Linked DNA regions of Macaca fascicularis. The protein of the gene in region 1 binds, or shares a complex with, the protein of each later gene. Links are inferred from orthologs where the notes say so. Each region holds a gene or a part of one and is shown in the gene's direction. Other genes may lie near its edges. The genes, in order: KRAS, SOS1 and PLAAT3.

What was found.
Region 2: the proteins of KRAS (region 1) and SOS1 are in contact, whole or in part, in a crystal structure (PDB 8BE4), measured with the Homo sapiens proteins. The link is inferred for Macaca fascicularis from reciprocal best matches to the Homo sapiens genes KRAS and SOS1. Residues at the interface, in NP_001356715.1 of Homo sapiens: Ser17, Ala18, Ile21, Gln25, Asp30, Glu31, Tyr32, Pro34, Thr35, Glu37, Tyr40, Asp54, Ile55, Leu56, Asp57, Thr58, Ala59, Gly60, Gln61, Glu63, Tyr64, Ser65, Ala66, Met67, Arg68, Asp69, Gln70, Tyr71, Arg73, His95; in NP_005624.2 of Homo sapiens: Lys602, Trp809, Thr810, Lys814, Leu822, Met824, Ile825, Arg826, Thr828, Thr829, Thr832, Leu833, Leu872, Val875, Ser876, Asn879, Ser880, Ser881, Pro882, Tyr884, Ser908, Asp910, His911, Tyr912, Lys913, Phe929, Phe930, Gly931, Ile932, Leu934.
Region 3: the proteins of KRAS (region 1) and PLAAT3 are in contact, whole or in part, in a crystal structure (PDB 7C41), measured with the Homo sapiens proteins. The link is inferred for Macaca fascicularis from reciprocal best matches to the Homo sapiens genes KRAS and PLAAT3. Residues at the interface, in NP_001356715.1 of Homo sapiens: Ala11, Gly13, Lys16, Ser17, Tyr32, Asp33, Pro34, Thr35, Ile36, Thr58, Ala59, Gly60, Gln61, Asn85, Asn86, Lys88, Asp92, Tyr96, Lys117; in NP_001121675.1 of Homo sapiens: Leu65, Tyr66, Asp67, Val68, Ala69, Gly70, Ser71, Asp72, Lys73, Tyr74.

The regions. Positions count from the first base shown.
Region 1 is NC_088385.1:27,972,685-27,976,784, reverse strand, and holds the start of KRAS (GTPase KRas), read left to right. Parts: upstream 1-1,273; 5' UTR 1,274-1,452; intron 1,453-4,100. UniProt on the Homo sapiens protein: Ras proteins bind GDP/GTP and possess intrinsic GTPase activity. Plays an important role in the regulation of cell proliferation.
Region 2 is NC_088387.1:83,183,415-83,186,553, forward strand, and holds part of SOS1 (son of sevenless homolog 1), read left to right. Parts: intron 1-741; coding exon 742-1,233; 3' UTR 1,234-3,139.
Region 3 is NC_088388.1:10,818,198-10,821,847, forward strand, and holds part of PLAAT3 (phospholipase A and acyltransferase 3), read left to right. Parts: intron 1-2,826; coding exon 2,827-3,095; intron 3,096-3,650. UniProt on the Homo sapiens protein: Exhibits both phospholipase A1/2 and acyltransferase activities. Shows phospholipase A1 (PLA1) and A2 (PLA2) activity, catalyzing the calcium-independent release of fatty acids from the sn-1 or sn-2 position of glycerophospholipids.

The DNA.
Region 1 (4,100 bases):
TGGCGCTAGCAGGGGGAGACTGGAATAAACCTTGCAGAATACAGCCCGTACAAGAGTAGAAAAGATGACAGTTAATGTAAAGCCTTGGTTAACAGACACAATAGCTCGGATTTAAATTCAGCTTTATTGGTGGTTTATGATGTGGACTAGAGAAATGGAACTGAAAGTAGAGTCTCGGAGGAGGGGCGATCCTATCACACACAGGCGTTGGTTTTCCACCCCTCAATCCTCAAGTCCCTCCCAACGTACCTTTCTAGGTAGTTTATCAACACAGACTCCGGGTATGCTAGCATGTTTAATTGCCCCATTGTTTAATATCTTAACTCTACAAACGTTAACTGATTAATCTGTCTTCTAATTAATGTTTGAATGACTCTCCTCAGGTCTAAACTAGCGAGGGCACCTCTACTTAACAACAGTTGTCTTTTGTTTGTGATTTCAGGGGCCATGGGTATATGCGAAGTCCCTGTTTAGAGACCTTGTGATGGGGTTCAAAATATCAAGAAAGATAGCAAAATATCACAAACCTCCTACCCGAGATTAGCGCTGAAAGGGTCTGTCGCGTTTGTTTGGGCCTGGGGCTAAATTCGCAGCCCGAGTGCTGAGGCTGATAATAATCGGGGCGGCGATCGGAAAGCCCTGGTGTGGGAAATCGTCCGCCGGGTCTCCCTAAGTACCCGAAGTCGCCTCCCACTTTTGGTGACTGCTTGTTTATTTACATGCAGTCAATGATAGTAAATGGATGCGCGCCAGTATAGGCCGACCCCGAGGGCGGCGGGGCGCTCTTCGCAGCTTCTCTGTGGAGACCGGTCAGCCGGGCCGCTCGTGGCGTGGCCGCTCGCGGCGTCTCCCCGATGGCGTCCGCACAGCCCTCCGCGGTCGGGTCCCGCTCAGGGTCAGAATCCGCGGCTGCGGGGACCGCCTTGCGGCGAGGCAGGGGGCGGGCCGCCGCGTGGGTCCGGCAGTCCCTCCTCCCGCCAAGGCGCCGCCCAGACCCGCTCTCCAGCCGGCCCGGCTCCCCACCCTAGACCGCCCCAGCCACCCCTTCCTCCGCCGGCCCGGCCCCCGCTCCTCCCCCGCGGGCCCGGCCCGGCCCCCTCCTTCTCCCCGCCGGCGCTCGCGGCCTCCCCCTCTTCCCTCTTCCCACACCGCCCTCAGCCGCTCCCTCTCGTACGCCCGTCTGAAGAGGAATCGAGCGCGGAACGCATCGATAGCTCTGCCCTCTGCGGCCGCCCGGCCCCGAACTCATCGGTGTGCTCGGAGCTCGATTTTCCTAGGCGGCGGCCGCGGCGGCGGAGGCAGCAGCGGCGGCGGCAGTGGCGGCGGCGACGGTGGCGGCGGCTCGGCCAGTACTCCCGGCCCCCGCCATTTCGGACTGGGAGCGAGCGCGGCGCAGGCACTGAAGGCGGCGGCGGGGCCAGAGGCTCAGCGGCTCCCAGGTGCGGGAGAGAGGTACGAGGCGGACCACCCCTCCTGGGCCCCTGCCCGGGTCCCGACCCTCTTTGCCGGCGCCGGGCGGGGCCGGCGGCGAGTGAATGAATTAGGGGTCCCGGGAGGGGCGGGCGGGGGGCGCGGGCGCGGGGCCGGGGCGGGCGGGGTGAGGGGGCTCTGCAAGGGGAGGCGCGCGGACGCGGCGGCGCGGGGAGTGAGGAATGGGCGGTGCGGGGCTGAGGAGGGTGAGGCTGGAGGCGGTCGGCGCTTGTGCTGCTTCCTGGACGGGGAACCCCTTCCTTCCTCCTCCCCGAGAGCCGCGGCTGGAGGCTGCTGGGGAGAAACTCGGGCCGGGCCGGCTGCCCCTCGGGGCGGTGGGGTGCGGTGGAGGTTACTCCCGCTGCGCCCCGGCCTCCCCTCCCCCTCTCCCTGCTCCCGCACCTTTTGCCTCCCTTCCCAGCACTCGGCTGCCTCGGTCCAGCCTTCCCTGCTGCATTTGGCATCTCTAGGACGAAGGTATAAACTTCTCCCTCGAGCGCAGGATGGACGGGATAGTGGTCCTTTTCCGTGTGTAGGGGATGTGTGAGTAAGAGGCGAGGTCACGTTTTGGAAGAGCGTAGGAAAGTGCTTAGAGACCACTGTTGGAGGTTATTGTGTTTGGAAAAAAATGCATCTGCCTCCGAGTTCCTGACTGCTCCCCTCCCCCATGTATGGGCTGTGACATTGCTGTGGCCACAAAGGAGGAGGTGGAGGTAGAGATGGTGGAAGAACAGGTGGCCAACACCCTACACGTAGAACCTGTGACCTACAGTGAAAAGGAAAAAGTTAATCCCAGAAGGTCTGTTTTGCTTGGTCAAGTTAAACCCCGAAGAAAACCCGCAGAGCAGAAGCAAGGCTTTTTTCTTGCTAGTTGAGTGTAGACAGCAATAGCAAAAATAGTACTTGAAGTTTAATTTACCTGTTCTTGTCCTTCCCCTTATTTCTTATGTATTACTCTCATCCCTTATTTCTTCTATAATATCCTCATTTTGCAGATGTGTTCTACATCTCACGAGTTATTACAGTACTCCAAAAGAGCACTTAACGTGATTTTTTTTTACATGATTTTTTAAACTTACAGAGGAATTGTAGCAATCCACCAGCTAACCGCCTGAAATAGACTTAAACATGTGCATCTCCTTTTTTATTTTTTATTTTTTTGAGATGGAGCCTCGCTCTGTCGCCCAGGCTGGAGTGCAATGGCGTGGTCTCGGCTCACTGAAACCTCTGCCTCCAGGGTTCAAGCGATTCTCCTGCCTCAGCCTCCTGAGTGGCTGGGACTACAGGCGCCCGCCACCGTGCCCAACTAATTTTTGTATTTTTAGTTGAGAAGGGGTTTCACCATGTTGGCCAGGATGGTCTCCATCTGCTCTGTTGCCCAGGCTGGAGTGCAGTGGCGCCGTCTCGGCTCACTGCCACCTTCGCCTCCTGGGTTCAAGCAATCCTCCTGCTTCAGCCTCCCGAATAACTGGGTTTATAGGTGTCTGCCACCATGCCCGGCTAATTTTTTGTATTTTTCATAGAGACAGGGGTGTCACCATATTGTCCAGGCTGGTCTCGAACTCCTGACCTTGTGATCCGCCCACCTCGGCCTCCCAAAGTGCCTTATGCATCTTCTAGCTGAAGTCTAAGCCTTCTTAAATCTTGAGCTCTATCAAAACAGAAAGGTTTTCTAATTGTTATACAATATATACGTTATGTTTATAATAGCATTTAAAAACTAAGTGATAAAGGGGAAAGGTCTATTTGTAATTATCAGCTCAGAATTAACCATATAACTGGTGTCACTGAAGTGACTAAGGTCCAAAATGCTGACTCCTACATGTGATAGACTACAGATATCAAATATGGTTGCTAACATTAGTTTACTTTGAGACTGTAGCCATACACAGTGTACTTGCTTTTAAGAGATGGTGGATGGTAATTCCGTTTTATGACAAATAAAAATGAATTTTCTTCCATAACAAAATTGTTGGATTTGAGTCCAGTCCACTCCTTATTAGCTTTTCTAACTGTGAGTAAGGGAGCTCCTCCCAGCCCATGATCTTCATTTGATAAGACTACTTTGGAGCCCAGTTCTCTCTAGTGGATTTAAATGTGACTTGGTTTTAAAAATCTCATTCAAAGAATTTTTTTTTTTTTCCTGGAAACAACCACCGCATAAACAAGTAAACCAGAAGATATATGTGGCTGTGAATTCGTACATATACACAAACTCTAATCCAGTGTCTGTCCACAGTATTTACTAGGCTGGTAAACTTTTTGGCCTTAAGGACCCCTCTACGCTCTTTCTTTTTTTTGAGAGAGTGAGTCTCACTCTGTCACCCAGGCCAGAATGCAGTGGCGCTATCTCGGCTCACTACCACCTCCGACTCCCAGGCTCAAGCGATTCTCCCGCCTCAGCCTCCCGTGTAGCCGGGATTACAGGCTCCCGTCACCGGGCTAATTTTTGTGTTTTTAGATACGGGATTTCACCATGTTGGCCAGGCTGGTCTCGGCCTCCTGACCTCAGGTGATCCGCCCGCCTAAACCTGCCAAAGTGTTGGGATTACAGGCGTGAGCCGCCATACCGGGCCTACACTCTTAGAAATTATTATTGAAGGGGCCGGGCAAATTGGCTCTTGCTTGTA
Region 2 (3,139 bases), on another chromosome or scaffold:
CCTTAATAGTAAATCTGACATACTTTTAAATGGAGTTTTCATGAAAATTCTGGGTTTGGAAGAGACCCTAAAGGCTCAAAATAGCTATTTCTACCTACTTTTTTTGGCGGGGGGGCCAGCTGTTAACTTAACGCATTAGTTCTTAAGCTGTCCAGAGTGCAGAGCACCAGGGTAAGTCAAGACACTCTTTGTACAACTTCATGAATGTTAATATAGTTAATTTAAAATTATAAAATAGGCAATTTATGCTAAATTAGAAATGATCTTTGATTGATAAGCTAAGTCAGTAAGCAGTAGCAAACAACAAAATTTTGAGGAAAAAAATTTAAGTAAAAACTTTGGCAAACTTTTTTTTTCTATGAATTGGCAGAACCTTCCATTTAAAACACATGCCAGCCTTGGCAACAGAGCAAGACCTTGACTACAAAAAATGAAAAAATTAGCCAGCCATGGTGGTCCTTGCTGCTTGGGATGCTGAGGTCGGGGGATCACTTGAGCCCAGGAAGTTGAGGCTACAGTGAGCCATGATTGCACCACTGTACTCCAGTCTGGGCAATAGAGCAAGGCCTTGTCTCAAAAAAAATTTTTTTAATTACAAAGGAAACATACGGCAAAACTCCCTGTTCCACACTTAGCATCCTGCCAATAGCATGTTTGAAAACCCCAACTTAATTCTTATAGTCATGATACTTCATAAATTTATTAATAAATGTGTATTTTATTCTTCTTTTCATTTGTTAGATTATGTCTAAGCATTTGGACAGCCCCCCAGCCATTCCTCCTAGGCAACCCACATCAAAAGCCTATTCACCACGATATTCAATATCAGACCGGACCTCTATCTCAGACCCTCCTGAAAGCCCTCCCTTATTACCACCACGAGAACCTGTGAGGACACCTGATGTTTTCTCAAGCTCACCACTACATCTCCAACCTCCCCCTTTGGGCAAAAAAAGTGACCATGGCAATGCCTTCTTCCCAAACAGCCCATCCCCCTTTACACCACCTCCTCCTCAAACACCTTCTCCTCACGGCACAAGAAGGCATCTGCCATCACCACCATTGACACAAGAAGTGGACCTTCATTCCATTGCTGGGCCGCCTGTTCCTCCACGACAAAGCACTTCTCAACATATCCCTAAACTCCCTCCAAAAACTTACAAAAGGGAGCACACACACCCATCCATGCACAGAGATGGACCACCACTGTTGGAGAATGCCCATTCTTCTTGAGTTCCTCTGTACTGGGATGTATATTTTCCTGGCCCCAAATCCATTGCTGGCAATGGATGCACTGAACGTGCCAGCACTGAGGAGTTAAAATGAGAACTCCAAACACTAACGACTCTTCTTCAAGATGCAGTATAAGACAATGAATTTTAACCTAGATGTAATTATAACATGGAAATGGTATTCCAGTTTAGAATATGGAAAGACTGACCTAGAGGAATTGGACAACTGATTGCACCTGAAAATCATAAAGGGACTTTTTCTGGCCAATAGGCAGGAGTCCTCTTTTTGGGAAGTGTTTGTGAAGTGATCTTTTGTGAAGTGATCATTAAAGGGATGGAAAACACAGTCTAGTGTCCAGCAGGCCCACATGATGACAGGTTTTGTAATTCAAATTATGCACTTTTAAAAAAAAATGTAAACAGGGATCTTAATATCTTCCTTTGTTTTCCTTTGCTTTACTCTTCTACTTCAGAATATTTTCTTAAAAATCACTCAAAGGACTGTGAGGAAAGGCTGTGGTACCTGACCTTGTTGAAATCAAGGCCCGGCACTGTACTACAGTCCTGTTTACAGATTATTACGGTGAACTGAATGGGTACCGAGGCTTCACCAAAGAGGTACTTTTTTGTTGTTGTTGTTGTTTTAGGAATAATTATACCAATTTTAAGAGCATTCCCCACCTGTCCCCACACACCCAAACAAAATGTGGTGGTGTTGCCTTCAAAAAAGAAGTTTTGTGTCATTAACATGACAGAAGAACTTTTTAAAAAAACATAACTGTCAAGTATTCTATTTGCATTTAGGAGACTGTTAATCTATGCTAGATTGTCATTTTCCCTCCTTCTCCCACAAAAGTTTACTGGTAGTCCATGTCATGGCTCGTAGCTATCCCTCTAACCATACCATGGAAATGCAGACACCCAATGTGAAAAGGAGCACTTGCTGGGCATCACTGACACCGCTCATGTTTTACTCATAGTTGAGTAATCAGCATATCTAGAATTATCTTGCATTGCCTAAATCATATGTATATAGTGAATGTTATATAATATACCTGGCAGGTCTGTTTTAATTTAATTGAATAAAGATACAAATACTTTGTTTGGCTGGCATATATTAAATTATTATATGAAGAAAATGGTTGATTCTTATTTCTTTTAGTTGAAAAACACACAAAAACACTAAACATAAAAGCACGTTTTGTGGTACGCCTTGGTTTCTAGTTCTGGATATATGTATTAATCTTAAAGAATGATCTAAAGTCACAGCTTGGCATATAGGAAGATACTTGGTTAGAATAGGATGGGTATCTTTTAAGCAGAACTTTGTAAGTTTTAAGTTCCTAAGCAACATGTGTACAGTGTGTTAAGGTTTCTATTGAACATTCTACCTTGCTTGAGGTTTTCTGCTTTATCAAAACTATTCATGACAGAACATCTACCTGCATCATTACTATCATAATATGGATTATTCATAAAGCGTATGTACTGTTATTCTGAGTCTAACAAATACTGTGACTGAAATGCATGCACCTTGTTGAAGAGAAAACATTTTATTAATCTCCACTATAATGTCTGTGAAATGTGCAGTATTCCATCCTTAGAGAGTTATCTGGTTCATCAGCATCTGCATGTATCCTCTGAATAATGAAGCAACATTTCAGCAATTCTGTTAACCACGCTATTAAGAGACATTTGTAGAAGTGCTGCAACATGGTGGGAACCTAGTACTTTAATAATTTCCTATGATATTTATTAGAGCGCAAAATGTACATCACGATAGTACAGTATGTAGTCCTTTAAGACCAGAAGGTATGTTAACTGCACCGTCATTAAGCAGTCTATCCTATTTTCTTATTTATTTGTTAGAGTTGAATCCTTTTTGTTTAATATCTGTACCATTCCTA
Region 3 (3,650 bases), on another chromosome or scaffold:
TTAGGAACTGAGCTGCAGAGCAGGAGGTGAGTGGCGGGCAAGTGAGCGAAACTCATCTGTATTTACAGCTGCTCCCCATCGCTTGCATTACCGCCTGAGCTCCGCCTCCTGTCAGATCAGCAGCGGCATTAGATTCCCATAGGATCATGAACCCTACTATGAACTGCACACGCAAGGAATCTAGGTTGCACACTCCTTGTATTTATCTGTTTTCATACTGCTATAAAGAACTACCTGAGACTGAAAGGAGGTTTAATTGACTCACAATTCTGCATGGTTGGGGAGGCCTTGGGAAACTTACCATTATGGCAGAAGGTGAAGGGGAAGCAAGGCAGGTCTTACACGGTGTTGGGAGGCAGGGGAGTACCACACTTTTTTTTTTTTTTAGACAGAGTTTTGCTCTTGTTGCCCAGGCTGGAGTGCAATGGTACAATCTCAGCTCACTGCAAACTCCACCTCCCGGGTTCAAGTGATTCTCCTGTCTCAGCCTCCCGAGTAGCTGGGATTACAGGCACCTGCCACCACACCCGACTAATTTTTCTATTTTTAGTAGAGATGGATTTTCATCATATTGGTCAGGCTGGTCTTGAACTCTGGACCTCAGGAGATCCACCTGCCTCAGTCTCCCAAAGTGCTGGGATGACAGGCATGAGCCACCGCATCCGAAGTGCCACACTTTTAAACCATCAGATCTTGTGAGAACTCACTCATTATCATGAGAACAACATGAGGGAAATCTCGCTCATTATCATGAGAACAACATGAGGGAAATCTTGCTCATGATTCAATCACCTCCCACATAGTCCCTCCCCTGACATGTGGGGATTACAGTTCAACATGAGATTTGGGTGGGGATACAGAGCCAAACCATATCACTCCTTATGAGAATCTAATGCCTGATGATCTGTCACTGTCACACATCACCCCAGAAGGGACTGTCTAGTTGCAGGAAAACAAGCTCAGGGCTCCTACTGATTCTGCATTATGGTGAGTTGTATGATTATTTCGTTATATATTACAATGTAATAATAATAGAAATAAAGTGCACAATAAACGTCATGTGCTTGAATCATCCCCAAACCATCCCTCCCCCCTGCCTAGTCCATGGAAAAATTGTCTTCCACAAAACCTGCCCCTGATGCTAAAAAGGTTGGGGACCGCTGCTTTAGAGGGACCGAGGTGGTATCTGAGGAGGGAGCTCTGCTTTGATTTTTTTTATGCTGTGACTTTGTATGCAACACACTCAAACAAAAATTTTTTTTTGACAGAGTCTCACTCTGTTGCCCAGGCTGGAGTGCAGTGGCATGATCTCAGCTCACTGCAAGCTCTGCCTCCCGGGTTCACACCATTCTCCTGCCTCAGCCTCCTGAGTAGCTGGGACCACAGGTGCCTGGCACCACACCGGACTAATTTTTTGTATTTTTAGTAGAGATGGGGTTTCACTGTGTTAGGCAGGATGGTCTCGATCTCCTGACCTTGTGATCTACCCACCTTGGCCTCCCAAAGTGCTGGGATTCCAGGCGTGAGCCACCGCGCCCGGCCGCAACACACTCAACTCTTAAGCGTAAAGCTCCTGGGAAGAGTGCGGGTGTTTGGCAGAGAGACTGGTTATGAATCCAGTTTCCATTCTTCAGCCTTGGTTTCCTTTTTTGCAAACTGAGGATATGAATACTTAACTTGGAGAACTCTCGTGAGAACTCCTCACCCTTCTCTTAAGCCTTTAACTTAAACTGGGGTATAACATAAATATTGTAAAATGTACAAGCATAGTAAAGTATACAGTCAGTGAATTAAAAAAAAAAAAAATCCATCTATGTAACAATGTCCCAGATCAACAACTAGAACATTCCCACTGTGCCACTTACCCTGAAAGGTTCTCTCGTGCTTCTACAATATCCCCTCTGCACCCCTCGCCCAGGCAACCATCATTCTAGCTTTTCCTGCCGTAGATGAGGTTTGCCTGTTCTAGAACTTCATGGAAGAGGTATCACACGGCCCACACTCTTTTGTGTCTGGCTTCTTTTAGCAAACATCATGCCCATGTGAGTCATCCATGCTGCTGTGAGTAGCAGGAGATCTTTTTCACTGCTGTGTATTTTCCGTTATATGAATATGCCACAATTTAGCATCCATTTTTCTGACATCAGACTCATTGCAGGTTTTGACTGCTATGAATAGAACTGTTATAGACCCTCTTTTTTTTTTTTTTTTTTTTTTTTCTGAGGCGGAGTCTTGCTCTGTGGCCCAGGCTGGAGTGCAGTGGCATGATCTTGGCTCACTGCAACCTCTGCCTCCTGGGTTTAAGCGAGTCTCCTGCCTCAGCCTCTGGAGTAGCTGGGATTACAGGCGTGTGCCACCACGCCCAGCTAAGTTTTGTATTTTTAGTAGAGATGGTATTTCACCATGTTGGCCAGGCTGATCTCAAACTCCTGACCTTAAGTGATCTGCCCGCCTTAGCCTCCCAAAGTGCTGGGATTACAGGTGTGAGCCACCACGCCTGGCCTTCTGGAATGTTTTATTTTTATCTTTTTTTTTTTTTTGAGACAGAGTCTCGCTCTGTTGCCTAGGCTGGAGTGCAGTGGTGCAATCTGGACTCACTGCAACCTACACCTCCCAGGTTCAAGCGATTCTCTTGCCTCAGCCTCCTGAGTAGCTGGGATTATGGGCACACACCTTCCCCCAAGGCCCACAGCCACGCATCTGACCCTTCCACATGTTGCTTATCCTACGTGGATGGAGCCAAAGGCAGATACCCTGCTGGGGGCCATCTCTGAGCCTCTGTGGCCCTTCCCAGAACCAATCCGTTTCCTCTTTGTGGATCTGCAGGTGAGGTTGCAGGAGCGGGTGCAGCCAGTGTCATGTCTGCCCTGACTGACAAGGCCATCGTGAAGAAGGAATTGCTGTATGATGTGGCCGGGAGTGACAAGTACCAGGTCAACAACAAACATGATGACAAGTACTCACCGCTGCCCTATAGCAAAATCATCCAGCGGGCGGAGGAGCTGGTGGGGCAGGAGGTGCTCTACAAGCTGACCAGCGAGAACTGCGAGCACTTTGTGAACGAGCTGCGCTATGGAGTCGCCCGCAGTGACCAGGTGCGTCCTCCGCCCATGTGGCCTTTCCCAGGAACAAGACCATTCCCTCAGCTGACGGAGGCTGGGCATGGCTATGGAAGCATGAACAAGACAAAGTAGCAGAGACAGAATTACTGCCCTTAAGGATGTCACAGTTGGAGTGGGGACAAGGGTGGGGAAAGAGGCAAGTTGGCAGATCAGTGTAGTCGGGGCCGGGGGTGAGTGGCCAAGGAAGGGAGTCACAGACATGATATTCATTCCTGTTACCAAGCCCTCCCTAGCCACGTGTCCCTGAGATGGCCCTCCCAGCCCTAAAGGCAGGTTTTAGGACCCACTACCTTACAGATTGGGAAACTGAGCTTAAGTAACTTGTCTACAGCCATTCGTTTCATCAAAAAAATCTTTGTTGAGTCTCCAGACCTGGTACCTGTCTTTTCCTGTGCAGATAATTCGCAGAGCTGGGATTTGAAGCCCAGGTCTGTGTGGCATAGCCGGATCATGCTTCTAAACAGCACTGTCTTCAGCTTGGCTGAACCCTAAGGGTGAATCTGGGAGACACTAGGGGATGCAGTTTTG